2 linked regions of the Canis lupus familiaris genome follow. The protein of the gene in region 1 purifies or fractionates together with the protein of each later gene. This does not show direct contact. Links are inferred from orthologs where the notes say so. Each region holds a gene or a part of one and is shown on either strand. Other genes may lie near its edges. The genes, in order: ASCC3 and RPS3.

Evidence for each region.
Region 2: the proteins of ASCC3 (region 1) and RPS3 purify together in Homo sapiens (co-immunoprecipitation; 4 studies listed by BioGRID and IntAct, with this or other methods). This does not show direct contact. The link is inferred for Canis lupus familiaris from reciprocal best matches to the Homo sapiens genes ASCC3 and RPS3.

What each region holds. Positions count from the first base shown.
Region 1 is NC_049233.1:59,187,104-59,203,414, reverse strand, and holds the start of ASCC3 (activating signal cointegrator 1 complex subunit 3), read left to right. Parts: upstream 1-8,314; 5' UTR 8,315-8,588; intron 8,589-8,713; exon of another isoform or gene 8,714-9,119; intron 9,120-12,743; exon of another isoform or gene 12,744-12,874; intron 12,875-16,311. UniProt on the Homo sapiens protein: ATPase involved both in DNA repair and rescue of stalled ribosomes. 3'-5' DNA helicase involved in repair of alkylated DNA: promotes DNA unwinding to generate single-stranded substrate needed for ALKBH3, enabling ALKBH3 to process alkylated N3-methylcytosine (3mC) within double-stranded regions.
Region 2 is NC_049242.1:23,295,276-23,311,379, reverse strand, and holds RPS3 (40S ribosomal protein S3), read left to right. Parts: upstream 1-8,855; 5' UTR 8,856-8,889; coding exon 8,890-8,919; intron 8,920-9,957; exon of another isoform or gene 9,958-10,105; intron 10,106-10,236; coding exon 10,237-10,367; intron 10,368-10,868; coding exon 10,869-10,962; intron 10,963-11,449; coding exon 11,450-11,544; intron 11,545-13,656; coding exon 13,657-13,844; intron 13,845-14,056; exon of another isoform or gene 14,057-14,201; intron 14,202-14,307; coding exon 14,308-14,501; 3' UTR 14,502-14,505; intron 14,506-14,966; 3' UTR 14,967-15,381; downstream 15,382-16,104. UniProt on the Homo sapiens protein: Component of the small ribosomal subunit. The ribosome is a large ribonucleoprotein complex responsible for the synthesis of proteins in the cell. Has endonuclease activity and plays a role in repair of damaged DNA.

The sequences.
Region 1 (16,311 bases):
ATCCTTATCTGTTTAATACAATATATTTGCTTTAATTAAGAAGGAAAAGGATTGTGGGTGAAACATTTGTCTCTCAATATGTCTTTATCTCTCATGGTAACAGAACTCCTTAATTTTAACTGAATATATAGTTGCCTAAAATAAAAACTACAATTCCCAGCTGCCCTTGAAACTAAGTGCGGCCATGTGACTAAAGGATGGGTGTACTTTCAGTTCAGGTTCCCAAAATAGGTCTCTCTGCTACTCCTCTTCTTTAGACTGCTACTTGGAATATAGTCTTGGTTGCAAGTCATCTCATATTATTAGAGGAGAACAATACCCTAGAAATTATAGAATAACAAGAAGGGACCTCGGTCTCTAGATGACTAAATCCTAAATACAACCACACTGTTCCAAGATTACTGTTGAGGAGGTGACTGAAAAGACATGACTGCTGGTTGACCCATGAGCTGAACCCCAGGCAATCAAAGGCACCCCTCCCTGTCCCCTGTCTTTGAAATATGAGTTCTGCTTGCCTTCTTGCTCCCAGAAGCTGCCCTGAGGACATAGGTTTGAGATAATGATGTGGTGCTGAGACTAGTTAGACAGTATAAGGCAGTATATATACTTGACTGAACCTAGTTAAGGCCTCTATACACACTTTTTAAGATTTGACAGGTGGGTGTAGGGATCCACGTGTCTTGTACCCTAAAATAAACTTTGTATGTAAGTCTCCTTTAGTTATTAAAACTGACACTTACCAACCTGGAGTGGCCTTCCTCTTTCTTTTGTCTCTTTCTGCTCTCCAAATACAGGGACCAGCTTCAGATTATATTGGGGATACTCCCAAGGAGCTTGTAAACCAAAGATTACTTACCTATCTTGTTTTGTGAGAGGAAAACTCTATTGCTACTGTCATTTTGGGTCTCATACAGTCTAAACAATTCCCTAACTTATCTGTTAGGGGAATCACAGCATGGCAGCAGTTGGCAAGGAAAGATTCTCCCATTCCCACACAGTGCCTTAGGTAATAAATATGTTTCAGCCTCAAACTTTGGGTGGGTGATTTACTTGCATTAGAAAGGCAAACCTAGGGGATCTCTGGGTGGCTCAGCGGTTTGGCACCTGCCTTCAGCCCAGGGCGTGACCCTGGAGTCCCGGGATCAAGTTCTGCATCAGGCTCCCTGCATGGAGCCTGCTTCTCCCTCTGCCTGTGTCTCTGCCTCTCTCTCTCTCTCTCTCTCTCTCTCTCTCAGTACAGGCAAAAGGAGAAGCAAGCTCCTTGCAGGGAGCCCAATGCAGGACTCGATCCCAGATCAGGATCATGCCCTGAACCAAAGGCAGATGCTCAACCGCTGAGCTACCCAGACATCCCATACTTAACTCATCTCTTACAGGGTCTTTCCCTCTATCAATATCTTGTAAGTTTGCTAGTTTTTCTATCTTAAAAACACACATAGACAAAAGTCTTTCTCTGGACCCTAAAATCTCCTTGATTGCTCCTTTTTTCATGCATTTATTAGACAAAAATGATTCTCATCCCTGTCTCCATTTTCTCTCTTCTCATTTATTCTCTTAATTTGCCATCTGATTTCCATCTCTATCTATCAAGTTACTATAATTGCTTCCAATTCATCAATTATATAAATCTCCAAAGACATTAATTTAGTCTCCGTTCTCCTTGACTTTGAGCAGGAATTAACCTTGTTGATGACTTTTTAAAAAAATGATTTTATATATCTTTACTAATCTCTTTCCTCTTTGGCCACCCTTTCTTTCTCCTTTGCTAGCTCCCTTTCCTCCTCTGAATCACAAGGGTAGTGCACCTGAATTGTTTTGATCTTTTTCCTAATGGTATTATTTCTCTTAATTTTCTTTAAGACTACTCCTCTCCACATTTTATCCTTACATTAGATTTACTATAGCTTTCACTTAAAAAAAAAACAAACTCCCTATCTTACCATTTATTCTTTTGAATTTCACATTTCCTCCCATATGACCTTGTTCCTTGAACTCTTCCTCCTCCCATCTATACTGCTTCCTCTCTAGACCTGCTGCACAGCCCTATCTGGAAATGTTTTTTAGCTTCTAAGATTGGTACACCTTTTCCAGAATTCCATTTTTCCTCTTTGTTTTCAGCCTTATTTTGCTGGAATTTTTCGCTGGAGTTTCTATCCTTAGTTTGCTGAGGTAAAGATCACATGGGAGGAAAATGCTCTGCAGTTCTACATCCTTGATGATCTAAAAATAACTTTATTTTGCTCTTAGTTAATTGCTCTTTAGTTAATTGCTAAATTGAATGAGTATAGACTTTTAGACTGAAAGATATCTACCATTAAAATATTGAAAATATTCTATCATTGTCTTCTAGTATCCAGTGCTGTTGATAGGTCTGATTTTTTTTTTTTTTTTTCTTAAGAGATGGAAAGAGCCAGAGTGCAGGGCTGCAGGGAGGACTATAGGGAGAAGAAGAGAGAGAATCTCAGGCAGGCTCCTGACCCAGAGTGGAGCCCAATGTGGGGCTCAATCACACAACCCTGAGATCATGAACCTGAGCTGAAATCAAGAGTCAGATACTTAACTGACTCAGCCACTCAGGTGCCCCAATTTGTCTGATTTTTATTCTTTCATTGATAATATATTTTTTTGTGCTTAGAAACTTGGGGTTTTATTATCATTAATACTATTGACTATTATTATTCCTAGTTTTTATTCTTGGTTTTACATGATAATATCTCCAAGTATGGATGTTTTTTCACCTATTTTCTGGTACCCAGTAGTCTACTCAATCTGAAAACTTGTTTCCTTCTACATTCCAAAAGACCTCTTATAATTAAAACATTTTTTTCTCGCTTTTCTTTTTCTAAATCTCTTTCTTTTCTAGCAGTTGAATGTTAGTCTATTGGATTGGCTATCCATGACTCTTATCTTTTCTCATATTTTCTGTTCATGTCTTTGTATGCTTGTTCTAGACTTCTTCAATTTTATCGCCAGTATTTTCCCTTGAATTTTTCATTTAAGTAACTGTTTTTTGTGTGTCAGAACTCTTTTTCATCCTATGCTTGCTTCTTTTTCAGGGTACCTTGTGTGTAGCTTATAGATATAATATTCTGAATACTGAAATATATAAATTGGAGTGATTTTTAAAAATGTTCCTTTTCATTTTATAAGTTATATCTATTTCCTTTAGTTTCTTTTTTCTGTTTTTCTTAGTCTTTCTCTTTCATAATGGCGATTTTCCTGTTGATTTTTTATTGTATGTTTATACATACACATACACACATGCAAATACGTTTATGTAAACATGTATTATACTATATATAACATTTTATATAAAAATATTTTTATTTATACATTACCTATAATATATAAAATATATAATATATAAATACATATATGTCCATAAATATATTTGACAAAATATATATTTATGTTTATAATCTTAAAATATGTTAAATTTTAAAATTAAAAATATAAAAAAATATAAACTGGTCATTGATAATGGTTTTCTTTTGCTTTCAATAAGTAGGATGTCTTCCACTTTTCTCTCCTATATAGGAATTGTGAACAAGTAGCTAGGTTTGGTACTGTAGGACCAGGAATGCTAAATATCAGGTTTTACTTTAAGATGAGTAGGCAAGCAACTAGCTCTCTGGATGCTGGCCCTGAGTACCAGAATGAGAATGGTATTTCTCTTTGTTGTCAACATAAAAGCTTTCATTTCCTCTCTACTATTTACATAATTCATTTCAAGAAGACTTTTGGGGTCATTTTTGGTTTCTATGTTTGGTGGCAGGTGTCTTTGTCTACAAATGAAGAAGGAAATATGTGTGGTGCCTGAGTCAAGTGTAACATATTTCGAATGTTATCCCTATTTTCAGCCCTTATTCTCACTTCTACTCTCTGCCATGCCTCAACCAACTCTTTTATAACTACTTCATTGTATTTTTTGGCAATGGTTTTGGGTGTTATTCCAGAGAATATGGTCTCTTTCTCTACTATTAGCTTTGTTTCTCAGGAAATTACTGAAGTTTCATTTTTCTTTTCTCTGTTGATCATACTTCTCTCCATATAACACATACTATCTTTACTCTTTTCTTTATTCCTCAATGTTTCTAATTCTAAATTTTCATTTCAGCAGTGTATAGGAAAGAACATTAGGCAAATTACATGCCTAGTCCACGGATCTTGAACAGTAAGTCAAGAATAACTCTATAGATATTATAAGCATATATTTTGCCACTTGGATAAAACCTATTGCAGAATTCCCCATGGCTGACTATTCCTTGGCCACATGATCACCTCTACAAAATTCTTATTCAAAGGGAAATAGAATTACTTCCAGGGTAAAGGGAAGAGCTCACATTTCTTTAGCTGTTTGGTAGTCTAACAAATTCATTTTATTAATTAAGAAAGAGGAGGAAAATGGTGATTGGGTAGGCAACCACAGTAGCCATCATAATTTTTTTCTCCATATCATCATCATTTCTTAAAAGGACTAGGGAAGCTCATTTTAGAACTAAGCATCCCTCAGAGGTTAAGTGTCAGCTACAGGTAAGACACTGCAGTGGGGTCCAGCAAAGATGGAATTTTAAGACCCAATGTTGTAAGCTGGAGTATGCAAAATGAAGGGGGGAACAACGGACTGAGAATAGGTAAAACCGAAAAGGTCTAGAAGCCGAGGCTGTGGGACACTGGTGAGCTGTTGCAGACCTAGTGGACACATATACTGAGATATACTAAGAGACTACTGGGCTGCAAATGAGTCAGGAGCGTATCAACCCATTCTGACAACACATGAGGTGATAGGGCTGAGAATGAAAGGCTAGAATGCTAAGAATGACAGAACATAGAGATGAAAAGAAACAAAGACATGGAAGACTTTGTTGAGCCAATGAAAACATGTTGGAAGCACTTTCACCTTGAGATTTTCTGTTTTTGAGACAATTTTGAAAAAATTAAGGCACTATTAGTCAAATGATCTAGTTACATACACACACGTATATAATTATACATATACGGATTTCATATTGTGCATGTATTATTTTGCAAACTATTTACTCAGTTGTACTCTTTGATATATTTCTGTATCAAGCAACATAGATTCATATCATACTTTTTTAATACCTATAAAGCATTCTACTTTATTTTTTTTTAATTTTTATTTATTTATGATAGTCACACACAGAGAGAGAGAGGCAGAGACATAGGCAGAGGGAGAAGCAGGCTCCAGGCACTGGGAGCCTGATGTGGGATTCGATCCCGGGTCTCCAGGATCGCACCCTGGGCCAAAGGCAGGCGCCAAACCGCTGCGCCACCCAGGGATCCCAGCATTCTACTTTAGAGATGTGCTGTACAATAATCCCCCTTTGTTTGTGGGGGATACACCCAAGACTGCCCCAGTGGATGCCTGAAACCAATGCTAGTACCAAACCCTGTATACCCTGTTTTTTTCTTACATATGCATAGTTATGACAAAGTTTAGTTTATAAATTAGGCACAGTAAGAGATTAACAACAATGACTAATAACAAAATAGAATAATTACAATAAAATATAATAAAAGTTATGTGAATGTGGTCTCTTTCTCTAAATATCTTATTCTAGTGTACTCACCCTTCTTTTGATGTGAGATGATAAAATGCCTAGTGATGAGATGAAGTGAAGTGAATGACACAGGCATTGTGACATAGCATTAGGCCACTATTGACCCCTTGATGATTTATCAGAAGAAGGATCATCCGCTTCCAGATTGTGGTTGACCTCATGTAACTGAAACAGCAGAAAGGGAAACCCTGGATAAGGGGCAAGACTACTATCATCAATTTAAAACAATCCTCTATTAATAATACATTTTTAAGTAGGAGTTTTAGTTGGTTGCCCAACCACCCATTAATTTCAACCCATGCTAGTCAATATTGCCAAGAGATTCATACAATCCCAGTTTCTAATGGTCAGATCCTGATTGCCTACAGTACTAAACTTCTTAAATTAAAAATCGAGTCTTCTTACATATTAGTTCCTAATTTTAACTTTATCATCACTACCTTCCAATAAGCACCTTCTATTGTAGACAAACAGGTTATTCATTATAATGGAGTGCATCTGCAATCTAGTTTCCTTGTCTCTGCTCATGGCACTTTCTGGACAGTTTTCTTTCTCTTCATTAGGAATTCTGTCATCAGACTCTTCCCACTAATATTTCCGAAAACCCTCCAGGGATTACAAAGAGGACAAAGATAGTTCTTAGAGTTCAGTGAAGTGTATTTCCCTCTAGGTCAGGACTGTCCAATAGAAATAAGATGCAAGCCACCTATGTAATTTAAAACTTTCAAGTAGCCACATTAAAAAAATAAACAGGTAAAATTACTTTTAATATATTGACACAAATGTTAAAACTTCAATATGTACTCAATATACTAATTAAGATATTTTACTTTTTTGGCACAAAGTTTCAAAATCTGGTGTATAATTTGCACTTACTGCATGTCTTCATTTGAATCTACCATATTTCAAGGGTAAAGAACCGCATTTGGTTAGTTACCAAATGCGGCTAGGCAGGGCTCATTTGCAGTTTCCTTCTTCCTCAAGTCTCTGGAACTGTGATGATCTGTGATAATCTGTTATGTGAATTACTAGCACTTATTGTTAGTAGCTCTCATTATCAGGTGGCTTCCTCTCATTATTTATCTTTTAATACGTTTGTCTTGCCTCACAAGTTAACCTGTAAATTTTTTTTAAAGTCTAGGACTGATCCAACCTCAAAGTTGGGAATAACTAATAAAACCATGAATTAATTCTTTTGATGTATGGTTCCCCTGCAACTAGTGCCTACCAACTAAGCTTTCACGGGCAGCCCAGGGGGGCTCAGCGGTTTAGCGCCGCCTTCAGTCTAGTGCCTGATCCTGGAGACCCTGGATCGAGTCCCACGTCAGACTCCCTGCATGGAGCCTGCTTCTCCCTCGGACTGTGTCTCTGCCGCCCTCCTCTCTCTGTGTTTCTCATAAATAAATAAAACCTTAAAAAATTAAATAAGGTCAAATCCAGTGAATGAGGCATCCATACATCCTGAGGCAGACAACTTCTCTGACTAGTGCTGGAAGAATATTTTCTTTTCAGGATCTGAAATCTGTTTCTCTCAAAACTGCATTCTTGCGATCACATGAAACAAATCTAAAGTCACAGGACTAGTCTTTATTTGGAGATGTTCCAGTAGCTCTCTCTCTTCCGTGAAAATCCTCCCAAGTTCAATCAGTACTTTTTTTATGCATTACCTTTTGGGGTCCTCTTCATCATCTGCTCCCCTCTGAAATAATGCCAGCCTCTCTGAGTTTGTAATAAAGTGCTCAATCTCAGGGCACCTGGGTGGCTCAGCGGTTGAGCGTCTACCTTTGGCCCAGGGTGTGATCCAGGGTCCTGGGATCAAGTCCCACATGAAGCTTCCCACGTGGAGCCTGCTTCTCCCTCTGACTTAGGTCTCTGCTTCTCTCTCTGTGTCTCTCATGAATAAAGAAGTAAAACCTTAAAAAATATTAATAAAAAAAATAAAGTGCTCTATCTAAAACACCGAACTCCAGTTATGGTTTGGCCAATGAAAAGCATAACTGGATCACCACTGACTGCCTTTCTATGAAACACAGTTCCACTAGGCATCCAGACACATTCCTTATGAGGAAGGGGATGGAAGCGGAGGGAGCCACGACCGTCAGTCAGGTCATGCCATCTTTGCATGCCCGATGTTTCGTCTAGAACTCTTGTATACACGTTCACAAGGGAGTTCTTGAGGTCAGTTATTATTATTTTTTTTTTTTAAATATCGTCTACCTGTCTTTTCAAATGAGCCGGAGAATCTTCAGGTATTTTGTTTTCGGTGGGGACGTCCGACCCAAGCACCTGCTGACAGAGAAAACCTGAAGAGAACTGAGCTGAGAACTGAGAGAGCTCAGGGCAAGCGGACGGGGGACCAGGGAACTAACTGCATCAAGGGTCCAGGAGCCAGGCGCTCCGGCCGGCGACGAAGATCACGGTGACCCGGTCCCTCACGCTCCCTACTTCGCTTCTCTCCTTCACCTTTCACGGGAATCATTAGCCGTCTTCACCTCAGGGAGAAGGTCGGAGAATAAGATGCAGTCAACTCGAGTACCAGCAGGGAGGGTTCTCCGGGCGGTGACTAGAGGCGGCAGCGCGACCCGGTACCCGACGGCCGAGTCCCAGGAGCGCGCGCGCCCGCCGGTTCCTCTCGGCGGCTCTACGGGCGGGGGGGCGGGGCGGCGGCGCGCGCGGGGGGCGGGGCCGAGGGAGCCGACGTGCTGACGTTGGCGCGGCGGCGGGCGGGTGACGTGTAGGCCCGCGCCTGCCCCGCCCCTCGCCGGCCGTGTGGGTCCGGACGGTGGTCGGGGCGCTGCGCTCTGTGGCTGCGGGCGACCCTGGCGGGCTCGGGTGGGGTGCAGAGGAAGGCGTAGCGGGGCGGCTGCCCACTGGCGTCTTCAGCTCTGCCCTCCGCTCGCTCCCCACCCGGCGTGGAAAGGAGAAATGAAAACGAAAGAGAGGGGGGGACGCCAAGGTAGGAGCTGACCGAGTGATGGGAAGCGCGCGAGCCGGGGCCAAGAGGTGAGGAGGTGGATGTGGAGGGGGAGGAGGGGCGGCGCGGCCCGGGGCAGGTGGCGGGCGGCGGGCGGCGGGCGGCTGGGGGCTCCGGGGGTGGCGACGCGGCCACGCGGCCACGCGGCCCGACGGCCCCCTCGGGTTTCGGGGGGCGAGCCACGGGCTGTCACCCCTCTTGGGGCCCGACGTCCTGTGGGTGGTCTCCGGACAGTCTGGTCCCCACCCTTGGGATCTGTAGGTCGGGGTGGCGATCCGAGACATCAGCCTGGGAGTTAGGCCCCGACGTGACCAGATGGGGAGATTGCTCTTCCCCGTGCGTGGGCAATTTGCTTTCATGAGGGTTGCTTTCTTCAGTTACAAAGCCGTGGCAACTTACTTACTCGTTTTCTTCACGTAGATTTTGGGGAAAAGACCTGCTTTGTATTTTTTTTTTTTTTTTAACCCCCACACCGAAAAGTAAATAATCCGGTTAGGGCGTTGATCACGGTGAATTGTGGGTGAGTTTGGTAAACGCTGAGTCTGGAATGTCATTTCGAAGTAAGTAAATGTGTTGCACACGTGAGGGAGGTGTGGTGGGTTACGGGGGGGCAGCTGTGTTAAATAGACTTTTTTTTTTTTTTTTCCTTTTATCATAAGTTACCTTATTTGTTGAATGCAGTGTGTTCGTGTATTTTGCTCACCTCTGGTGGAAAAGAAGCATGATTTCAGTGTTAGCTGAAAGTTTGGTATGAGTGGTGTCACACGTACACTCAAGCTAGGGATCGTATGTTCTTTCCCTAAGTAAGCTTAGATTGAATAGCCGGTATTTCTATCACTAGATTTCTTGTTTCTTGGAGAGAGATACTTTTTTTTTTTTTTTTTTCCCCTCTCTCTCCCATTTTCAAAGTGTTGTGAGAAGAATTCAGCTTTTGATTCTACGCCGGACTTCGCTTCTGTTCGCACATCTTTTAATGATGGCTATAATAATAGTCTCGCATGAGAAAAAATGCTCATTAGAGATGCCAGTTAAGTGTAGGCTAAATAATCTTAATTGAATGAATTAATTTTTCATGGCTTAGCCTTCTTGATCCCTGCTGAACGATTTTTTTTTTTTTTTAAATCATTTCATTCATTCATGTCTTCCTATGTGCAGGGCACTGTGCTAGGCCTAGGAAATCAAGAGAGAGACAGTGTCTGTGCTTGTGGAACTTTCTGTAGTCTCATATCCTCTTTCCAGAGAACCTTGACTGAAGGGTTCCTCTTCCTGTCGTGGATTTCTAGTGAACCAAAGTGTGACTTTTCACGAGGATAAGTTATTGTCAATGTTTATACGTAAGTGGCCTCTAAAGAGGAATAGATTGGGCAGCCCGGGTGGCTCAGCGGTTGAGCGCCTGCCTGCGGCCCAGGGCGTGATCCCAGGATCCCGGGATCAAGTCCCGCGTCGGGCTTCCTGCATGGAGCCTGCTTCTCCCTCCTCCTGTGTCTCTGCCTCTCTCTCTCATTCTCTCTCTCTGTGCCTCTCATGAATAAATAAATGAAAATCTTTAAAAAAAATAATAAAGAGGAGTAGATTATTTTACTTGAACAGCATGACTTGATTTTGCCTTTGATCAAAAAGAAAATATACGGGGCAGCCCGGGTGGCTCAGCGGTTTAGCGCCGCCTTCAGCCCTGGGCCTGATCCTGGAGACCCGGGCCGAGTCCGGCGTCGGGCTCCCTGCTTGAGGCCTGCTTCTGCCTCTGCCTTTGACTTTGCCTCTCTCTCTCTCTGTCTCTAAGTCTCTCATGAATAAATAAATAAAATCTTTGGGAAAAAAAAAAAAAAGAAAGTATACGATGCCAGTGTTTTGCCAGTTAAAAATATTTTTTTTTAAGATTTATTTTTTTGACAGAAGGAGAGAGGGAGTTTGTGTGAGTGGTGGCAGAGGCAGAGGAAGAGAGAGTCTCAAGCCCACCCCCCACCGAGTGGGAAGGCCAGTGCATGTGACTGGATCTCATGACCCTGGGGTCATGACCTGAGCGAAATCAAGAGTTGGCCACTTAACTGACTGAGCCACCCAGGAGCCCTAGGAATAATTATATTTCTTTTTGCAAAGTACCCTTAACTAAAAAATTCACAATCAGAAGTCAGTTTCTACCTGAAAAAGACTATTTTTCCAGTTTTTACATTGGTCTCATTGGATCTCTATGTGTTAATAACTTGTAATTCACAATAATTATATGCACAAAGCATATCATCAGAAATATGTATGGTACTCATTGACAAGTAAACTTTTTGCCTCATAGTACCTCTCTGGGGAGGTAGTTAGCATAAGCTCTTTCAGTGCAAAGTATATCTTGATATAATGTGGCAGTTTTCAACTTTGAGAAGATATCTGTCTGAAGTTGAAATTTTAACAAACACAAACATTTATGGAAAGAAAAAATGCATAATTACCAAAGCGTAAAGAATAAGGTATCTTATGTATTTAGTAATTGTAAGAAGAAGGTAGGCATTGTGTGTCTATCTCATACATAGTTTTTTTTAAAGTAGATACTTATTTATTACATCTTTTTGCCTAGTATAATGCCTTGCTTATAGTAGACAACCCTATATAAATGTTCATTCATTTAGCATACACCATCTCATTTAAGTCCTCCATTTTTGCATGTAGATGAGCAAGTATGTTTGAGAATGTTCGCTGTTTGGTCAGTTTCATTTTTCTGCTGTTTGCTATGATAATCTGCTTTACAAATTGTCTTATTTCTGAAACTCTGTTACTCAGATTTAATGCAATTTAATCCATCTTTGAATATTCTGATTTAATCAGATCATTCAACCTGAAGGGGGTGTAGAAAATCATTTTGAAATCCTGCTTTATTTTATGGATCAGAAAGTTGATATCCAGAGAAGTTAGCTGACTTCTTATCATCAACAAAAATGGGACATCTGAACTCAGTTCTCCTTATTTTTATTTTACTTTCAACTATGTTATCTTGCTTTTCATTGTTATTTGAACAGACTAACTCTTGGGGAGTAAATTAAGATAGAGTCTCATTTTATCTTTCTGATTTGGGAATTTTGGGTTTATCTTCTTTTACTTTTGTGATTCACTCTTCAAAGAGAATTTGTAGGAAGTTCATTATCAAAGGCTTGAACTGAATGAAAAATAAGGGTGGAATTTGGAAGAAGTACATAATTTAAAAAGCTATTAACATGTAATAAATTTACAGGTAGCAGTAAGCATTGTCAGGATATGTTTTAATAAGATCATTGTTGAGAAATACTTATATATATTTTTAAGATTTTATTTATTTATTCATGAGAGACACAGAGAGGCAGGGACACAGGCAGAGGGAGAAGCAGGCTCCATGCAGGGAGCCCCATGTGGGACTCCATCCTTGGCCTCCAGGATCACGCCCTGAGTCAAAGGCAGACGCTAAACCGCTGAGCCACCTAGGCGTCCTGAAATACTTATATTTGAAGGAGAGAAAGTTCATACCTACTTACTTAATAACTAAACCAAAGGTTTTCAGGTGTACTGAGTCAAAATTTCTGGGCATGGTGTCTAGAAACGTCTAGAATGTCTAGAAATGCTAGAAATGCCAGTGATCCCAATGCAATCAATTCATATTGGAGAACTTTTACTCTAACCATATAATTCAAAAGCCTCTTAATTTTTAATTCTGTTCTATTAAAGCAGAACTTCAAAAGAAGGGAGGGATTTAGTCTCAGAATTATGGGTAGTCAGGCAGTTGCTAATGTTTCCCAGCATTTTTATTTTTATTTATTTTTTTAAAGATTTGTTTATTTTAGAGAGTGTGCATGCCTGTGCGTGTGTAGGAAGGAGGGAAAGCGAGAGAGAGAGAGAGAGAATCCCAAGCCCACTCTTCGCTTATCACAGAGCCCAAAGTGGGCGGGCCTCCATCTCACAACTCTGAGATCCTGACCTGAGCCAAAACCAAGAGTCAGATCTTTACTGACTGTGCCACTCAGTTGCCCCAGTTTTCTAGCATTTTTAGAGACTTGCTAGGTCATTTTGAAATTAAGTCAGTGACTAGCAAGTTATTTAATTGTGTGTCGCTAAGACACATTGCATGTGATTTTGATAAAGGAAAACATATTCCATTCCAAGAGAGGAAATTCTTATTAATGAGACAATTTTCCTTTTTTTTCTTTTCCTCTTTTTTTTTTTTTTTTTTCCTATTTTGAATGTTGATCTTGAGCCTACAGTGAGAAGGCTGGCCCCAGACATCTCCAAATCCATGTTTCTTTGCCTCTAATTCTTATGTGTCCAAAGACAAAACCACACAGACACACCTGTTGTTGGAGGGTTCTATTTGTCTTTTTAGAAATATTTCTTTATGTACTTTCTTGAAAGTCAGTAAAATGCCCAACAGGCCACTCAGATGAAACACTATAAAAATGTTAAAATCTGCTCTTAAACATCAGCAGAGATAAGTATACCTTCATCTTGATTTAAAAAACTTAATTCTAAAACACTACATAAATGATTTATAAGAACTTAATATGAAGATGATACTCAGTTTGCAAAAAAAAAAATAATTTCAGTGCATCTTTTCCCAGTGTGCATGCATTTTCTAAATTAGACCTGATTTAGGCAGTACTTTCAACACCAACGGGGCTTGCTAAATGGTCTTTCTGAGCATTCTTTAAGGAGTGAAGGAAACTTTGCAAAATATTAGCACTGTCTGTACTCTGCGAATGGGGAAACAGAAATAACTTAAAGATCACTTTTGAAAAGAATCACAGATTAATTGCTGGCTTTGTGAGACTGTTCAGTGAATTGACTTGAAGCAAGGAAAAATACTAATACCCGTGAATGCTGTCTGGTCAGTCTGAAGTAAGCAAAGTAGAGGCCTTGTCGTTGATTTAAAAAGCGAAAAAGTTGGTGTCCTAAGTTACTGATTTTGTCTATTAGCTTGGGAAGAAATTAGAGCTGTTAGGGAGTTTGTAAAATGATTGATACAGCTCTAGTTTTTCAGAGCTATTCACTTGGTATTTATTGAATATAATAAAAATGTTAGTTAAGAAATACCAGGTGACTGAAAGCTGTTCCTACATTCTTCTGTTATGGATTTCCTTCTGAGCCCACTCCTAGCCTAGGCTTTCTAGCTACTGTCAGCTTTTATCATTGCTTTTTGTTTTCTATTAGCCTGATAGTTAGAAAGTGCTTAAATATTAATTTTAAAATTAAATTTCTGCATGTATAAGTTATTGAGTTCTTTGAGAAGAGTGACATCATGAGTTGAATAAATCACATTAGGTTTTTATTTTTGTATTTGAGAAAATTTACTAGTTTGTAAAATATCTCTTATTCAAGACTAAAATAAATTAATGATTAAATTAACTTATGTGGGAAAATATTTTTGAGGTCTTGAAGATGATGTAAAAAAATTTATTTTATATATATATGTTTTTGTGTGCACACATATGTGTGTGTATTCAGATCTGTAAATACTGGCCCTTTTTTATGGCCACTTTGGCCATCCTTCCTGTCAGTCCATCCATCTGGCCATTACACAGGTACTTACTGAGGACCTGCTATGCCCCAAACAGTATTTTAGATAATGTGGATACTTTAATGAACAAAGCAAAATTCTCACCTTCATGGGGCTCATATTCTGTTTGATGAAGCTGATGAAAACACAGGAAACGTGTGTCATGTGATAAATGCCATGAAGTAAAGTGATTGGATGGAAGAGAAGGACCAAGAAAGGGGGTGCCATTTTAGATAGGGTGATCAGAGAAGGCTTCTCTGGTAAAGAGACATTTGAGCAGAGACCTGAGGAAATGAAAGAGCTACCTATGTGGCATGTGGGAGAAAAGTGTTCGTGCAGAGATCTGTATCCACATCAGTGGAAAGAAGGCCAATATGGATGTCCCAATATAACAGGAGGAGAGTTACAGGAGATCACATCAAAATGTAAGAGAAAGTTAAGTTCTTTTAAGTCTTTTGAAGTTTACTCAGAGATATGGGAAACCGTTGAAGGATTTTGAGCAGAGAAGGAGCCACAAATGTTACCTCTTTGGGGAAAGAATCATTCTTGTTTATGTGTGGAAACTAGATTGTTAGAAAGTAAGGATGAAAATTGGGAGACTAGATAGGGGATTGTAATAATCACCAGGGAAGAAAGGGTGATAGTGAGAAGAGGTCAGATTCTGAAAATATTTTGAAGGTAGAGTTGGGAGAGTTTGCTGATGAGTAAAGCATAACTCCCAAGTTTTTTTGGCCTGAGCCAACAGGCAGAATGGAGTTGTGATCACTTAAGTGAGGTAGACCATCGGGAGGAGATTTGCAGTGGGAGAGCAATTTTGATATTTCTAAGCTTGAGTTGACCTATTAGACATACAAGTGGAGATGTGGAAGAGCTAATGTGTATACAAATCTGGAGTATAGGAGTGATGTACAGGATGTGTAAGTTAAGAATTAGGAATTAGCATATAAATAATACATAAAGACTTGAGACTGAATGAGATCACCTAAGGAACAAGTGTAGCTGGAGAGCAGGTCTTGATCTCTGTTCTTGGGACACAGCAATGCTTAAAGGATAGGAGGATAAGGAGGAACCAATGGGAGAAAAAAGTGCCAGTATTGTTGGATAAAAAAAAAAAAAAACAAGAGATATTGGTGTTCTAGATGCAAAGTGAGGCAACTGTCTCTACAAGGGCTAGGTCAAAAACCGGAATTAAACAAGAACTGAGAATTAACATTGAATTTGGCAATGTGGGGATTATTTGTGATACTAATAGCTCTTGTGGTGAAACAGTGGAGCTAAAAGTCTGATTGGAATGGAATTTCTTTGTAGATAAGCTGAAAAGTAGGGTGTTAATTAAGAGGTCTATGGAGTCAGTGGAGGTTTTTAAGTATGGGAGCTCCTATACTGTATTTTTAGGCTTTGGAGATGATCAGTAGAAAAGAAAATATTAGTAATAAGGAGAGAGGGAACAATTTCACTTCAGCAATTTTTTAAATATTTTATTTATATATTCATGAGAGACATAGAGAGAGGCAGAGACACACAGGCAGAGGGAGAAGCAGGGACTCCAGGATCATACCCTGAGCCAAAGGCAGATGCTCCACCGCTGAGCCACCCAGGCGTCCCTCACTTGAGCAGTTTTATCACATATACCTATTGAGTACATTTTTCTTGAACGAATTAATGAATGAATAAAAAGTTTTCACCAAATGCTGTATATTTTTTATTGGTGCTGAATAAAAAGTGGGATAAAGAACACTTTGGTTCTTTTTCAGATATTTTGAAAACTGATTAGGTTAAAGTCTTCCTTGGTTAGATTACCATCTTGAAGTTTACTTTTTGACCCTGGGGACCTGGTGTTTTTCAAGTCTTTACAAATAGTCTCTTAAGGTGTGCTGCTATGATGGGCTTATCTAATCTTTTACTTTGTATTCATTTTTTTTCCCTTTAACCTTTTAAAAAGACTGGTACCTATTTCAAAAATTTGGTCACCTATTATTATCTATTCCCTTTAATGGCATTGATGCATAATATGTGTGGGAACATTAAACAAGTACCCAGATGCTCAGTGTTCAAATGTTCAGTCTCATTAACCTTAGAATTTACAGATAAGGGCAGCCAGGGTGGCGCAGCGGTTTAGCGCCGCCTTCAGCCCAGGGTGCGATCCTGGATATCCCGGATCGAGCCCCAAACCCCGGATGAGTCCCACGTCGGGCTCCCTGAATAGAGCCTGCTTCTCCCTCTGCCTTGTGTCTCTGCCTCTCTCTCTC
Region 2 (16,104 bases), on another chromosome or scaffold:
CAAAGAAGAAGTCAAACTCTCCCTCTTCACTGATGACATGATACTGTACATAGAAAACCCAAAAGCCTCCACCCCAAGATTGCTAGAACTCATACAGCAATTCGGCAGTGTGGCAGGATACAAAATCAATGCCCAGAAATCAGTGGCATTTCTATACACTAACAATGAGACTGAAGAAAGAGAAATTAAGGAGTCAATCCCATTTATAATTGCACCGAAAGGCATAAGATACCTAGGAATAAACCTAACCAAAGAGGTAAAGGATCTATACCCTAAAAACTACAGAACACTTCTGAAAGAAATTGAGGAAGACACAAAGAGATGGAAAAGTATTCCATGCTCATGGATTGGAAGAATTAATATTGCGAAAATGTCAATGCTACCCAGGGGAATTTACACATTTAATGCAATCCCTATCAAAATACCATGGACTTTCTTCAGAGAGTTGGAACAAATCATCTTAAGAGTTGTGTAGAATCAAAAAAGATCCTGAATAGCCAGGGGAATATTAAAAAAGAAAACCATAGCATCACAATGCCAGATTTCAGGTTATACCACAAAGCTGTGGTCATCAAGACAGTGTGGTACTGGCACAAAAAACAGACACATAGATCAATGGAACAGAATAGAGAATCCAGAAGTGGACCCTCAACTTTATGGTCAACTAATATTCGACATAGCCAGTCTTTCTTACCTGCTTGTGCCGCCCTAACTGGTTGGTCCCTGTTGAAGCTGTCCTTGGGCCCCGTCTCTCCCCCCCAGATGTTGATCCCATGCCCTTGGAGGAAGCCTGATGATGGGGTGAGGCTTCCCTGGCTTTTTTCTGCCCCATGGCCACATCTTTCTGCTTCAGCAGTCTTATCTTTGGACCAATTATTTCCACATCTTCCCTTGAAGGGAGTTTTATCTGCCATATACATTATAGTAGTATGGTCCTTTACCAGTATTCAAATTGTGCCTGACATGCATGAGAAAGAGAAGAACCAGTGTGGGGGTGCCCAGATGGCTCAGTTGGTTGAGCATCTGACTCCTGGTTTCAGCTCAGGTCATGATCTCAGGGTCCTGGGTTGAGCCCTACATCTGGCTCTGTGCCCAGCAGGGGAGTCTGCTTGAAACTCTTTCCCTCTGCCCCTCACCACCCCAGCTTGCTCTCTCTCTCAAATAAATAAATAAATAAATAAATAAATAAATAAATAGTCTTTTTAAAAAAGAAAAGTCCTAGTGTGTTCTGGTCTTCTGCAAAGAACAGCAATGTGAGCCCACCTTTTAGTGTTGGGAAGTATTTGGTAAGATGGTAACTTACCTTAGCCAAGAACACTGAAGTTTAAGGCAAACCTAAATGCCAAGTTGCTTATCTGTGCTAAAAACAATGATAGTCTGCCCCACTTAATGAAGCCTTTCCATGGTCTAGGAACTATACCGAGTGTTTCAAAGCTACCATTTAACTGGATCACAGAAATCCTATGAGAGTAATGATCATTTCTTCTCTTTCCAGATGAAGAATCTGAGCTTCAGGAAGATTAAGTGACCTGCCTAAAATCACAAAGCTTGTAAAAGGGCAGAATTGGGATATTAAACAGATTGAACCGGATTCATTATTTCCTTAGTGCCCCACCTCTGATCCAGCTTCCATTCCCTTGCACCCTCCTGGCATGGCACTGGCATCCTTCCTGGCACCTGTGCATTGTGGTGACACCATTTGTGGGATGTTGCAAATGCACACCTATCCATCACAATATAGTCCACTGACTAAGGAGAGATCTGGGGAAATGTGTCCCAATATGTTTAAACTGCTTACAGCACTGTTGCTTTTATCTTCTTTATTCTTTTCAAAGTTTTTTTATTAATGTATTTTATTTCTTGAATCAGAAGACTATTTTCATAATAGGTAAGGTCCATCTTTTGCTCCCAAAGGGTTCAGCCCATTCATTCTGCCTGAGGTGTCCACCGGTCTAGCAAACACCTGAGTGTCTTGTGAACCTCAGCTCAAGGACTGGATCTCTGTGATGTCTTTTCAAATACTCTGCCCTCTTAGTACTCTATTGTCTCCACCATGGCACTTGTGATGTTTATCACACTTATTTATCTGTATCCCCCACTGCGTCCCCAGATCTGAACTGGGGCTCAATCAGATTCATAAGTTTCTGCAGGACCTGGCATAAGCTGTGGATCCATGTAACAGCTAATGCTAATTGAGCACTTACTATGTTCTAGGTGCTTTACTATGTGCTAAGCATTTTGCCTATATTAATTCTTTTTTTTAAGATTTTATTTATTTACTAGAGAGAGAGAGAAGCAGAGACACAGGCAGAGGGAGAAGCAGGCTCCATGCAGGTAGCCCGACGTGAGACTCTATCCGGGGACTCCAGATCAGGCCCTGGGCTGCAGGTGCCGCTAAACCGCTGAGCCACTGGGGTCGCCCTATATTAATTCATTTAATCTCACAATTGTCCCGTGAGGTGGGTTTACTATTATTTTCATCCATTTTACAGATGAGGAAATTTATGCAGAGATAACTTGCTTAGGTCATGTAGCTAGTAAACAACCAGACCTGGGGCTTGTACCCAGGCTGTCTGACTTAAGTCTGTGACCTTAAACATTATGCCACATTGAAAAGACACTTGGGAAAGTTTTGCTGAATGAAAAAACCTGGAATTTCTTCAAAGTGTCATTCAATCTGAAAAGTTCTTTGGCTGATCTCAAAGGCAGGGATTTAAATCAATATCCCGGGCACCTGGGTGGCTCAGTGGTTGAGCACCTGCCTTTGGCTCAGGGCGTAATCCCAGGGTTTCAGGATCGAGTCCCACATCAGGCTCCCTGGAGGGAGCCTGCTTCTCCCTCTGCCTGTGTCTCTGCCTCTCTTTGTGTCTCTCATGAATAAATAAATAAAATCTTTAATAAATAAACAAAATACCCCAGCCTGCCATGTGGATCTAGTGGTCACCTAGGCAGTTTACTCAGAAAAACCTGAACTTAAACCATTGGTCTCACTGAGTTCACCTCTATTCATTCACTGGACCACATGGGCCTCAATCTATAAGGAGACAAAGGGTGTGTGAATGTGGAAGAGGGGTTGTGATGGTCTGACTTTCCTGGCTCTAGGACTGCAGGAACAATCCTGAATTTCCCCCTGATGGGTCTCCTCCCCCTGTCTAGAGTGGATCTGAGACAGAGTGGGTCCTAGGATCTCAACCGAGCATGCAATTTATCTCTGAGTTTCCCAAGGCCCTAGGCAAACAGAGGAAAAAGATTGGTGTGTAACACTCCACGTGAGCTATCATTAAGTCTGTGAACAGTTACTAATCACCCAGGCTCTGCCAATCACTGTGCCCACTCCCAAGAAAACAAAAAGAAGCCAGGAACCATTGATCTGTGCAGTCAAAAGGACTACTACAGCTTTGCCCAGCAGAACTGTAAGAGCCACAGCTGGGAGCCACATATGTAATTCCAGTTTTTCTCACAGCTCCATGAAAGAACAGCAAAAGAAACAGGTAAACTTAATTTTTTAAAAAAGATTTTATGTATTTATTCATGAGAGACACAGAGAGAGAGAGAGGCAGAGACATAGGCAGAGGGAGAAGCAGGCTCCATGCAGGGAGCCCGGTGTGGGACTCGATCCTAGGACTCCAGGATCATGCCCTGAGTCAAAGGCGGATGCTCAACCCCTGAGCCATCCAGGTGTCCCTAAACTTAATTTTAATAACATATTTTAACTCAATATATCTAAAATGTTATTGTCTCAACATGTAATCAATATAAAACTACACTAACGAGATGTTCTTTTTAAAAATATTTTAAAATCTTGTGTATATTGTACATTTCTAGCACTTTCCACCCTGACCAGCCACATCTCAAGTGCTTGGTAGCCCCGTGAGGCCAGTGGCTACTGATTGGGAAAGTACAGATCTATAATCTAAGAAAATAAACTTTTTCTTTGCCTTAAACTTTCAGAAGAAAGGATTGTGGCATTGGGTGTTGGAGGCTGGGACATTCACACTGTTTCCCAAGTGATCAGAAATCTAAACCATAAGTGGCTCTTGCAATTTTTTCTTTATTTGTTTTTAAGTTCACAGGTAATGGATATGTTTTTATTATAAGGAAAGCAATAAAGTAAATTGTCCCTTAATCTTCTTCAATACTGTTCCATTCCCAGAAATAGGCTTAACTATCTAGCACTTGGCTATAGATCCTTCTTTATTTTTTTCATATTTTTTTATTTATTCATGAGAGACACATAGAAAGAGGCAGAGGGAGAAGTAGACTCCCTTCGGAGAGCCTGATGCGGGACTTGATCTCAGGACTCTGGGATTACGACCTGAGCTAAAGGCGAATGCTCAACCACTGAGCTACCCAGGTGCCCTCTTGGTACTCCTTTCGCGTGCATATATTGAATCACTTCATTCTCTTTAATGGCTACATGATATTCCAGAGCCATTTCCTTACTGAAGGGATTTTGGGCTGTTTTTAATTTATTTTTTCACTACTGGTAATACTGCAGAAAGAGTATTCTTGCCCTTACCTCCACGTACATTTCTGTAAGTGTTTTTCTGGAGTAGATAAAACGGAGTGTATTTGCTGGGAAATCTACGTCTTGAGTGATAGTAGGTGCCATCAAGCTACCCTCCACAAGGAAACTCAATTCATATCCCCTCCTCCCCTCAGTGCGAGGATTTCTCACACCCTTCCATCATACACTGGATCTGATTTTTATTGTAAGGAGGGGTATCAGATTTTAGTATCGATACAAATGCAGTAAAAAAAATATTTTTTTTATATTTATTCTACAGTATTCTTCTCTTCATATCCAGAGATTCAATTCCAGGCCCAGAGTGAGTCACTGATGATTTCTAATGAAATCAACAAGAATGTGACAGCATCATCATGTCCTACTGTGGGGCCTTAGAATCTAAAGTGAGTGATAGGGAGCCCTGGGTGGTGCAGCGGTTTAGCGCCTGCCTTTGGCCCAGGGTGCGATCCTGGAGACCTGGGATCGAATCCCACATTGGGCTCCCGGTGCATGGAGCCTGCTTCTCCCTCTGCCTATGTCTCTGCCTCTCTCTCTCTCTCTATCATAAATAAATAAACATTTAAAAAAATAAATAAAGTGAGTGATAACCGAATATGGTCAATGTTACCCTAGTACAATAATCTCTCCAGAAGCGCCCTCGTGGATACCAATGCACCTTCTAAGAATTCAGTTTTTCCTCCAGGACTGGCATAGATCTTCAGTTCTTTGGTCAAACACTAGATGAAGTTGTTAGCTTATTCAGGGATCTTGTAGAAAAAAAAACATAATTCTTCAAACACTCAGCCCACCAAGCTGTTCACTCTGAGAGGCCCTCAGAGAAGTGAGACCTAGACAATCCGCAGGAGTGGAAGTGCCCTCTGTCTACCTCATTGGGAGCCAGGTGCTCATGGAGGAGGGAGGCAGGCACTCCCTCCCTCGCTTGCACTATTTATTACTGTTTTTTAAATATTTTATTTTTTCATTGAGAGAGGGAGCGTGCAAGTGTGGGAGGAGGGAGGGACACAGAGAGAATCTAAGCGGACTCCTGTGAGCCTGGAGCCTGAGGTGGGGCTCGATCTAACGATCAGAGCTGAAACCAAGAGTTGGCCACCCAACTGACTGAGCCACCCAGGTGCCTCCACTTGCAGTATTTAAATTCTCTTTTTTGGGATGCCTAAGTGGCTCAGTGGTTGGGCACCTGCCTTTGGCTCGGGGCGTGATCCCAGGATCCAGGATCAAGTTCTGCATCAGGCTCCTTGCAGAGAGCCTGCTTCTCCTGCCTGTGTCTCTGCCTCTCTCTGTGTCTCTCATGAAGAAATAAATAAAATCTTAAAAAAAAAATCTCTCTCTTTTTTTCATGTGGACTTCCTCTAGTGGGAGTCAGGTAAGTTTAAAGCTTTTTATGAGATTCCATTGTTCTGGTCTTCAAGTGACTACACTGTCTTCCAAAATCGTGCAGTGTATTTGTTCAGCCAGGGCAAATTTCCCCTTCAGTTTTCAGGAATTTCAAGAAAGTACCTACTTGTGTGGCACTCGCAGAGCCCTGGCATGGCCTGCATGTGGCCGTATGTGTTCTCATACACAAGGCTCCCTCTTTCCAGTTCTGGGGATTCTTCTGTGGCACTGTAGGCTCAACACAGTGAGCTTTGTCTACACTTCAGAGACCCAGGGGGAGATTAAATCACTCTCACAGTTCCTTCTTGGATTAGAGTTCAGTGTATTGTGACCACTATTATTTTTATGGTGTTATTTTGAGTAATTTAATATCTTATTATAATGGTCTTAGATAAAATGTAAGGCATCATGATAAAGACAAAGGCTTCCTTTTTGGGCTTCCTTCTGGAACCAGAGCACAATACCTAGAAGGCAGCCTCTTAGTGTCACTGGAGAAAGGCAGTAAATGAGCAACTATGAAGCCTTCAGCAGTGGATTTACCTCCAAGAACTCACCATGGTCTGATGCTCAGTTTTGGGTCTCCAGGGTTTGGTTCAGATATGGTACTTGCCAGCAAATTCATATGAACCATGCTACTAGGAAATGATCTAAAGCCAGAATCCATGCATTGATTTATTTGCTCATCAAACTTTTACTGACACTGGGCTTAAGCCAGGCCATACCCTAGGCTCTGGATGTAATGAACAAAACAGGTTTGGTGTTGATGGTCTAGTGGGACATAAGCAGCCCATTCCAACCCAATGAGACAAGGTGTTATGGTTATGGGAGCAACTAAGAGAGAGTGACATACTTAGCACAGGGAAGGAAAGAGCCAGTAAAAGAATAGTATCACAGGAAAGATAAGCCATGACTGCTAGGGCAAGGTCTCAAAAGAAGAAAACTAAATGTGAACCAGAAGTCTCTTTCCTGAGTAGGGAGGGAGGGCCAAGGACACATACAATTCTAAGATGGGTGAGAGGCAGTTCTTGCCGGTATAATCTACCTGGGGACAAAGGGTTAGGAAGCAAGTTGACTGCTGAGAGTGAGGGAGAGGTTCTGATTTGGCAAAGATTAGAACAGACACTGTAGGAGGATGAGGGACATATCTGAACAAGGAAATATGCTGACCCCAGCATGCATGCAAGGGGTGCTCCCCTTCTGGCTCCCACAGTGCCCATGCCCTGAGTGGGGGCACACAGAGGTCAGACTCACAAGGGTGGAGACTATATCAGTCTGGCACCATTGAATTAATAGACCATGGAGTTGGATAAGGAAAGGAGCAGAGAGCACAGGGAGACAACACACAGAAAAAAAGCCTGATCATGGGTTCCTCATCTCAGTGAGGGTTGTCACCAAGCTTCCACCGCTGGAGTCAGAAACTGGGGTATCCTCAATTCCTCCTCAACCTCAGTCCATCACCAAGATACATAGCTCCATAGCCTCCTTATCTCTTTGGTCCATCAACTTCTTTTCATCTTCCCTGGTCCCTCTGCTCTGCTCCCCCGAGAACTCTGGTGATTCCATGAGTATAGGACAGAACTTTGCATCAGATTCTTTCTGCTGCTGGGGAAAAGCTCAAATGGCTTCTAGAGCCAGACAATGAATGAGTGAAGATGCCAGGGATTGTGGCATGTTGGAAAGCCCTTCGCCATAAAACAGGGAAGGAGAGGGCTGCCATGAGGAAATGTAGGTCTAGTATTTTGCTGGATCTTTCTGTATTTTTAAGAGAAGCTTAAAAGAGTTTTATAGAGAAGTTTCCTGATTTTTAAATGTAGGCAAACTATTCAAATTTAAGGGGCACCTGGGTAGGTCAGTGGTTGAACATCTGCCCTTGGCTCAGATTGTGATCTTGGGGGTCTTGGAATCCAGTCCTGCATCAGGCTTCCTGTGGGGAGTCTGCTTCTCCCTCTGCCTGTGTCTCTGCCTCACTCTCTCTGTGTCTCTCATGAATAAATAAATAAATCTTTGAAAAAAAAACTATTCAAATTTAAAATAAAACTGTTCATCACAGAAAAACTTGTTTTTCTTTTCTTCTTTTCTTTTTATTGTATCTGTATGACACGATGGGTATTAGCTGAACCTATTTTGGTCATCATTTCACAATATTTGTAAATCAAAGCATCATGCTGCATGCCTCAAACGTATACAGTGATGTATGCCAATTATTTCTCAATAAAACTGTTGTTGAGGTGTTTCAGAGTAAAGTGTGCAGAGGGCTGTAATTTACCTTGAAAAAGATCAAAAGATGCACCCTTGGGTGGATAGAGGGATGGATAGATATGGGATAAAGCAAATATGGCAAAAATGTTAATTGGATCACCTTAGTGACGCATATACATAATTCTTTCAACCTTCCTGTGTGCTTGAAAATTTCAAAATATAAGGGGTACAGTTTTTTTTAACGGAAAAATAATTGTGACCCCATGAACCACTACTTGGTGACTTCCGTTACTAGTTTTAATGGACTTTATGAAAGTGAGGCAGAGGTAAATGAGTTCATAATATAAAGGGCATAGAACAGTCCCTAGCATATTTAATAAATATTAGATATTTATATCGCCAGCATTTGGAACAGAGAAAACGGACACAGAAGGGCTGGACCTAAACGAATTTCATTGAGTGTAGAGTGCAGGGACTAGGATTGCACGCTGTTGCTGTGTGAGTTTATACCTGTAATTTCCATCTCTGCGCCTCACGTTGCTCACTTAAGCTAATAAGAATTGGACCTAAGCTCCCCTGATTGATCTGCTCCCTTTCCTGTTTCTGCCTATACGTGTCTCCATTACCCCTCCTTTTTTTCCCCTCTTTAATGCCTTCCTAAAAACTACAATTCCCAGGAGCGCCTACAGGCGTCGACGTCGCGCAGTTCTTTGTCGTAGCTCGCGCCCTTTATACCTACTTCCGCCCACGAGCCACTTCCTTTTCTTTCCGGGGCGCGCGGCGGCAAGATGGCGGTGCAAATTTCCAAGAAGAGGAAGGTAAGACGCTGGGGTCTAGGTTCGGGGATCTGTGGTGCCGCGCGGGTCGAGGCTTGTCGAGATGCCGTCGCGAGACCCTCAGCTTCGAGCCCTGCTTCGGGAAGCGGCCTGGGCCGCGTGGCATTCCCGCGGACCGCGGATGGCGGTGGATTGAATGCGAGGCCCGAGCCAGGCGAGCGCGGTTTGGCGGCGGAAGGGAGTGATGAGAGACGTCTGCCGCTTCTGGGCGAAGACCAGACGTGAGCACCGGGCGCCCCTCCCGCCCGAGACAAAGCGCTTGGGAGCATTACTTGGTTAACAGGTAGCTTTAGTAAGCGTATTTTGAGAGGTTGGGCCGTTCCCCCTAATGTCTCTCACTAGGACTTTGGGGGGGGGAGGTGGCGTGTGCACGCCTTCTTCGTGTCGGGGCGCGGCCCTCTGACCCCCGAGACCTCGGTTGGAGAGGCTGCTGTATCTTGCCCCGTCTCTACCGCGGAGAAAGTAACCGGGAGGGAGGAGAACCGGACAGAGCACTGGATCGAGCTTTAACTTTTCGCTTTTCCGCAGGCGGAAACTGTAAAGTCCGCTTGCTTTAGAAAGAGGCAACTAACTTGTCATTTTGTGTGTGTACACAGCGTCGTGCAAATCCACACACTTTTTCGAATTAGAGTTCAGCTTTGTGAGACATGTACTGTAGGCAAGATAACATGGCTGGGAGTCTTCTGATGGTCCCTGAAGGCAGCGTATTTTCATGGGTTACAAAGGTAGCATCTCTGCTCTGCAGACAGAAGGAGTTGTGAATGTGCCATTTTATTTTATTTATCTTAAGATTTTACTTATTTATTCATGGGAGACACAGACCCAGGCAGAGGGAGAAGCAGACTCCATGCAGGGAGCCCGATGTGGGACTGGATCTCGGGACTCCAGGATCACGCCCTGCGCCGCCCTGGACCGGAGGCAGGCGCTTAACTGCTGAGCTACCTGGGCATCCCGTGAATGTGCCATTTTAGAGCAGCTGTTTGTTTGGCATGTGCTACTCCTAAAGAAGTCTTTAAAACCCTTCAATGAAGAGAAGATGACGAGTCTGACTGGAGGTGTTATCTTTGCCAGGCGGCCCCTACTCCTTGCTGCGTTCTGTGGCAGTTTTAAGGGTCCTTGGGTTAAAGTAACTTCCAAAGGACGATCTAGAGGCATTTGTCTGAGAAGGGTTGTTAAATTCTGTGTTGGAACAAGGGTAGTAAGAGTGATGATGGGATGTTTGTATGAGGTGTTGCATTGGCAGAAGGACAATGACCCTGCCATCCCACGTTCTAATTGTGAATTTTCCCTTTTGGTTAGTTTGTCGCTGATGGCATCTTCAAAGCTGAACTGAATGAGTTTCTCACTCGGGAGCTCGCTGAAGATGGCTACTCTGGGGTTGAGGTCCGAGTTACACCAACCAGGACAGAAATCATTATCCTGGCCACCAGGTGAGATCTCATTTTCCTGGTTAGCACCTGTTACTTGTTGTATATGCTAGGTTGGTGTATTCTGTAAACTTCCAGGGAGAACCAGTGAATTGGCCTTATTAGCAAACGTAAGTGGTTTGTTTTTGTTTTTAAGATTTTTATTCATTTGAAAAAAAAAAAAAAAGATTTTATTCATTTGACTGAGAGTGCAAAGCGGAGGATGGGAGGGGGTGTTGAGGGGCTGAGGGAGGAGCAGGGAGCCCTTTGCCGGGCTTGATCCCAGGGCCCTGGGATCTTGACCTGAGTGACCTGAGCCAAAGGCAGACACTTACCAACTGAGCCAACGTGGCACCCCACAAATGTGTATTTTCGTAACTGCCTTTTAAATCTGATTCTAGCTCTTGTCATCCAAAATTTGTATTTTCTATGTTAGACGGGTGAGACTTCATTACCACATATATGTAAAATTTAAAGCCATGTTTGCAGTTTTGTGAGAGCTATTGTGTATTTTCGTTTTCTCAGGACACAGAATGTTCTTGGTGAAAAGGGCCGGAGGATCCGGGAATTGACTGCTGTGGTTCAGAAGAGGTTTGGTTTTCCTGAGGGCAGTGTAGAGGTGAGTGATTTTGCCTTTTGCCAGAGATTACCGTGGACCTGGAAATGGTTATTTAGGGTGGTTACTTTTATAAACCCTTAATGTCATGAAGACCTTAGTTATCACCAAGTATTACATATGAATTGGTGTTTTGTTGGTTGTCTTAATAAGTAGCAGGCTTTATTTTATAGGCCTTTTCTGCTCATTTCTGGTGGTTAAGGGACTTTTTTTTACTCTCAACTTAAGTATGGTAATGATATGTATGATGGATTGGCTATCCCATCACTTGATGTAGCTGTAGAAGTATCTAGGGATGAGAGGGCAATAAGGAAAGATTCAGACTATGTCACAGCGTAGGCTACCTATGAGTAGTAGGAGTGTTTTAGTACTTGAGGGATGCCACAGTGACCACATGCTTGTATGGTGAATGAGTTTTTTTTTTTTCTTTAATTGAAAACAATGGGGAAAGTTAACAGGTTTAAGGGTGTACCTTGATTTCTTCTTAAAGCTCTATGCCGAAAAGGTGGCCACAAGAGGTCTATGTGCTATTGCCCAGGCAGAGTCACTGCGTTACAAACTCCTAGGAGGCCTTGCTGTGCGGAGGTAAGTGTCCTGAGACTTTTTTTTTTCAAGATTTTATTTATTTATTCATGAGTTATACACAGAGAGGCAGGGAGATAGAGGGAGAAGCAGGCTCCTCACAGGGAGCCTGATGCAGGACTCAATCCCTGGACCAGGATCACACCCTGAGCCAAAGGCAGACACTCAACTACTGAGCCACCCAGGCATCCCTGAATGATTATGTTTTAAAGAGTGGTCAGTGCTATAAAGGGAGTACACTTCTTGGTGCTTAGGTAATAGAACAAAAACAACTCCAGGGAGAGGAGGTCAGGGTTCCCGTTGAAGTTAGCTCCATGAAGTGTGGAGATTATAAAGGCATAAGACATAGTCCTGATGGGAGAGAGCTAATCTGAGCAGTATGTAGGTATGATGTGAGGAGTGGATTATAGAGTGTATGAGGTAGCTAGATTGGCCCTGGAGCCGGGCCTTCTGATGAGGTTTCAGTAGGAGCTCTTTGTGTACTTTCATTGTTGTAATTGGAATGCTTTTCCTGGGTGTATGAAATTTAGGTGGTACTTCCTGCAGAGCCCTGGGAGGTTTTCTCAGCAGGAGAAGAAATTAAGAGCTGTGCTTTAGGAACATTGACCTGGTGGGGAGATGGATGGCAGGAAAGGTGTTATAGGTAGGGACATACAAGAAAGACTGCCTGGCTGGTTTGAATGCCAGCTACACTACTTAGAACTGTGGTCCTCAAAAGCTTAATCCTTGGGCTATGATCACTGATATCCTTGGAGGAATTGTTAGAAAAATTCTCAGTCTCCACCTGCTGAAGTGAAAAGGAGTGTGGATCAGCAACCCTTTTTATACCCACTGACTTGGAAGTTCTGAGACCTGAGCCACTTACTGAACATTTGACCCTTGGATCTCCTGTTTGTAAATGGGGGGTCATTATATCCACCTCTCCTTTTAGTGGTGATTAAATGAGATGATGCGAAGGGGCTTGAACCTAGAGTGGTGGGTCCTGCTTTACTTTCCCTGTTGAAGGTGGCAGCTAGCTCTCCTAATTAGTATGTCCTAGGGTGTATAGTAATAAATGAGTTGGTGGGGGGCATATTTTACGGCTTATTGTCATTTTTATAGTTCTAGAAGTATCTTTTCCAGCACTCTGTTCAGGGCAGCTAGGAGCCTACATTAGTAGCTTGGATTCCTAATAAATGTGAATTCTGGAGATTGAGGAATATTTAGTAAACCATAAAGGGGCCGCTCAGTGACTGGGTTCTTACTGATTGTTTACCAACTCATTGTGAAATGCTGCATTTGCAGAGATGGACTGGATGACCTATGCTTGAGTTATACCACCCCCACCATTTAATTGCCAGTTTAGGGGTGCCTGGGTGGCTGAGTTGGTTAAGCGTCCAACTCTTGGTTTTGGCTCAGGATGTGATCTCAGAGTTGTTAGATTGAACCATGGTCAGCTCTCAATCTGTATTGAGTGTGGAGGCTGCTTAAGATCTCCCCTCCCTCCATTTGCATGTGTCCTCTATCCCAAATGAAAAAAAAAAAAAAAAGAGTAAATTCTTGAGTCTGTAATTGCCAGTTTAATTGACCTGGTGTGAGGCTTGGACTTCACAGGTGTTGTTCTAGTTTAATCTTGAGGTGATTGTAATGTACACCCAATGCTGTGAAGCATTTGGGTTAGAAGGAACTGGAATATATATTCCTTAAAGAATTACCTTAAGATTAGGTGTGATAGGAATGGAGAATTGCCAGGCTCTGGTCAAATTTATTCTCCATTAAAGGAACACTGAAGATATTGTAGACTAGTAAGTCTATGGCTTTGTTTTTATTTTTTTAAGAATGACAGGGTGGTTAGGATGCCTGGGTGGCTCAGCAGTTGAGCATCTGCCTTTAGCTAGGGTGTGATCCTGGGGTCCCAGGATCGAGTCCCACATTGGGCTTCCTGCATGGAGCCTGCTTCTCCCTCTGCCTGTGTCTCTGCCTCTCTCTCTCTTTTTCTCTCTCTTTCTCTGTGTCTCCTGTGAATAAATAAATAAAATCTTAAAAAAAGAGAATGGGAGGTGGGATGGGGATAGGGTAGGCTTGAATAGTCTTGTCTTTGGTTATAACAGGTGGATGTTTCTTGTTCTCCCAAAGGGCCTGCTATGGTGTGCTGCGGTTCATCATGGAGAGTGGGGCCAAAGGCTGTGAGGTCGTGGTGTCTGGGAAACTCCGAGGACAGAGGGCTAAATCCATGAAGTTTGTGGATGGCTTGATGATTCACAGTGGAGACCCTGTTAACTACTACGTTGACACCGCTGTGCGCCATGTGCTGCTCAGACAGGGTGAGCAGCTGGGAGTGCTTGAGGCAGAGGGCTTTTAGCAGATAGATGTGGTTTTTTTTTCATGTATACCTCCATGTCAGGGAACATGTTTTGGGAGTAGTGGAGCATGTTTGTACTCCATGTGAGTTTATTCACGAGCTGCATTGACCTCTAAGAAGTAAATTGCTGAGATCCAAGAGTTGGTTTGCTTTTGTCTCAGCCACCTATGTACCCTTCGGTGATGACACGATGACGAGTCAGAAAGGTCACATCCTGCTCTTGGTCCTTGTCAGTGCCACGTTCTGTGGTGCTGTGCATGGGTTCCTTTTGCAAAAGTGTCCTGTTTATTGATTGATTAGAGGCATTTGTCTGAGAAGGGACTGGATCCATGGGTGCTTGAGTAACCTACTATTATTTTACTCTGCTCTATCCTATTGTGGGACAGGTACAACCACAGCTAGATTCTAATTATGGCATCTTCCAGGTGTGCTGGGCATCAAAGTCAAGATCATGCTTCCCTGGGACCCTAGTGGTAAGATTGGCCCTAAGAAGCCCCTGCCAGATCATGTGAGCATTGTGGAACCCAAGGATGAGATACTGCCCACCACCCCCATCTCGGAACAGAAGGGTGGGAAGCCAGAGCCGCCTGCTATGCCGCAGCCAGTACCCACAGCATAAATAGGTGTGTCTCTAGGGGCTTCTTGGGGTGGGCATGAAGGACCCTTATCCTTTGTCTCCCTAATAATTGTATATCCCGTACTGTTGTAAGCACTTGCTATGTAAACATTGGATTATACTTACCACGGTTGGAGCCAGAGGCCCATTTAACCAGGGATTCTGTAGGAAGAGAGATTTGCCTTTAGTCTCCTAAGACATTCCTATGTTTACCAGTGTGTTTGAAACAAGAATTTTCCTTTTATTTACTTAAAATCAAGGCACTCTTGTTAGTAGTTACCTGTTGTTCAGCAGCCCCTTCAGCAGTTAAAAAGGTATCACCAATCCTCTTCTATGGCTAGCACCTTTTGTTTGTTTCTAGGTGTTCTGTGTGTATATATTCTTCATGCAAACCCTAAATGAGAAATGAAACAACCCAATATTCAGGTGAAGATTCTGTTCTTACTGTTGTGCTCTATTTGGTTTCAGGGTCTCCTTGGCAGTTGGATCTGGAGGCTGGATTTTACTCTGTGAAGACCTTTAATAAAATATTTGAGTAAAACACGTGGCACAAATAGACTGTCCACTATTTGGTCTGAGAATTCTATTGCCTGAAGGGAACATTAACTTGGTTGGCTGCCGGCCTCATTTTCCCTGAAATCCTTGGTTTCAGCTGTTGTTGTGAGGCAAGAGCCAGAACAGGAAGACCCAAACAGCTAACCAGAGTAATATCCTATAAATCTGTGTAAAGTGAAGGCTGATTGCTAGTTGGATAGCACCTTGATTAATTCACCCACAGTTTGAGGTTATAGGTTTGGAAGAGGGATATATTTAAGATGTTTTTCTTTTCTAATGCATAAAGAAATCTTATTGCACATAGAAAATAAATACGGTGCCTATTGTATTTTCGGTCATTTCTACACTATAGGTAGTTTTGTATAATTCTACATTTTATCCTGAGCATGTCTGAAGTGTAAAGGGAATTTGCTTGTGCCACTGAAAAGCCTGAGAAGTACATTTATTAGAATCCACACTTCTTTGTTCAGTCCTTTTAGCCATTATACTTTAGAAGAATGTAAAGAACATTTACATTGTCTACAGTTTGTCATATTTGAAGTGCTTTCTATTGATAGTTATAAGAAATGGGGTCCTCGTAGTTTCTTTGGGTGAAAGTAGTGTGGGACCAAGGTGGCATGAAAATCCTACGTGGCTATATAGGGAATGAGTTCCATTGAGCACAGCGACAAATGTATCTCTGCCCCCTCCTTCAAGAACCTTTGATATTTATGCTGTATCTAGACCATCACCTATTGCTGGTTTTGTCAGTGTGGTTTTGTTTTAAAGATTGTATTTATTCATGAGAGACCCAGAGAGAGAGCGCGGCAGAGATCCAGGCAGAGGGAGAAGCAGGCTCCATGCAGGGAGCCCGACAGGGAACTCGATCCCTGGTCTCCAGGATCACACCCTGGGCTGAAGGCTGGTGCTAAACTGCTGAGCCATCAGGGCTGCCCTGTTTTTGTCAGGGTTCATGGAACTGAGACCACCTATCACTAGTAGAGACACTTCCCTTTAGAAGTCCATAACCTCTGGCAAAGCTAACGTGTTTACTGTTTTAGGGAGTGGAATG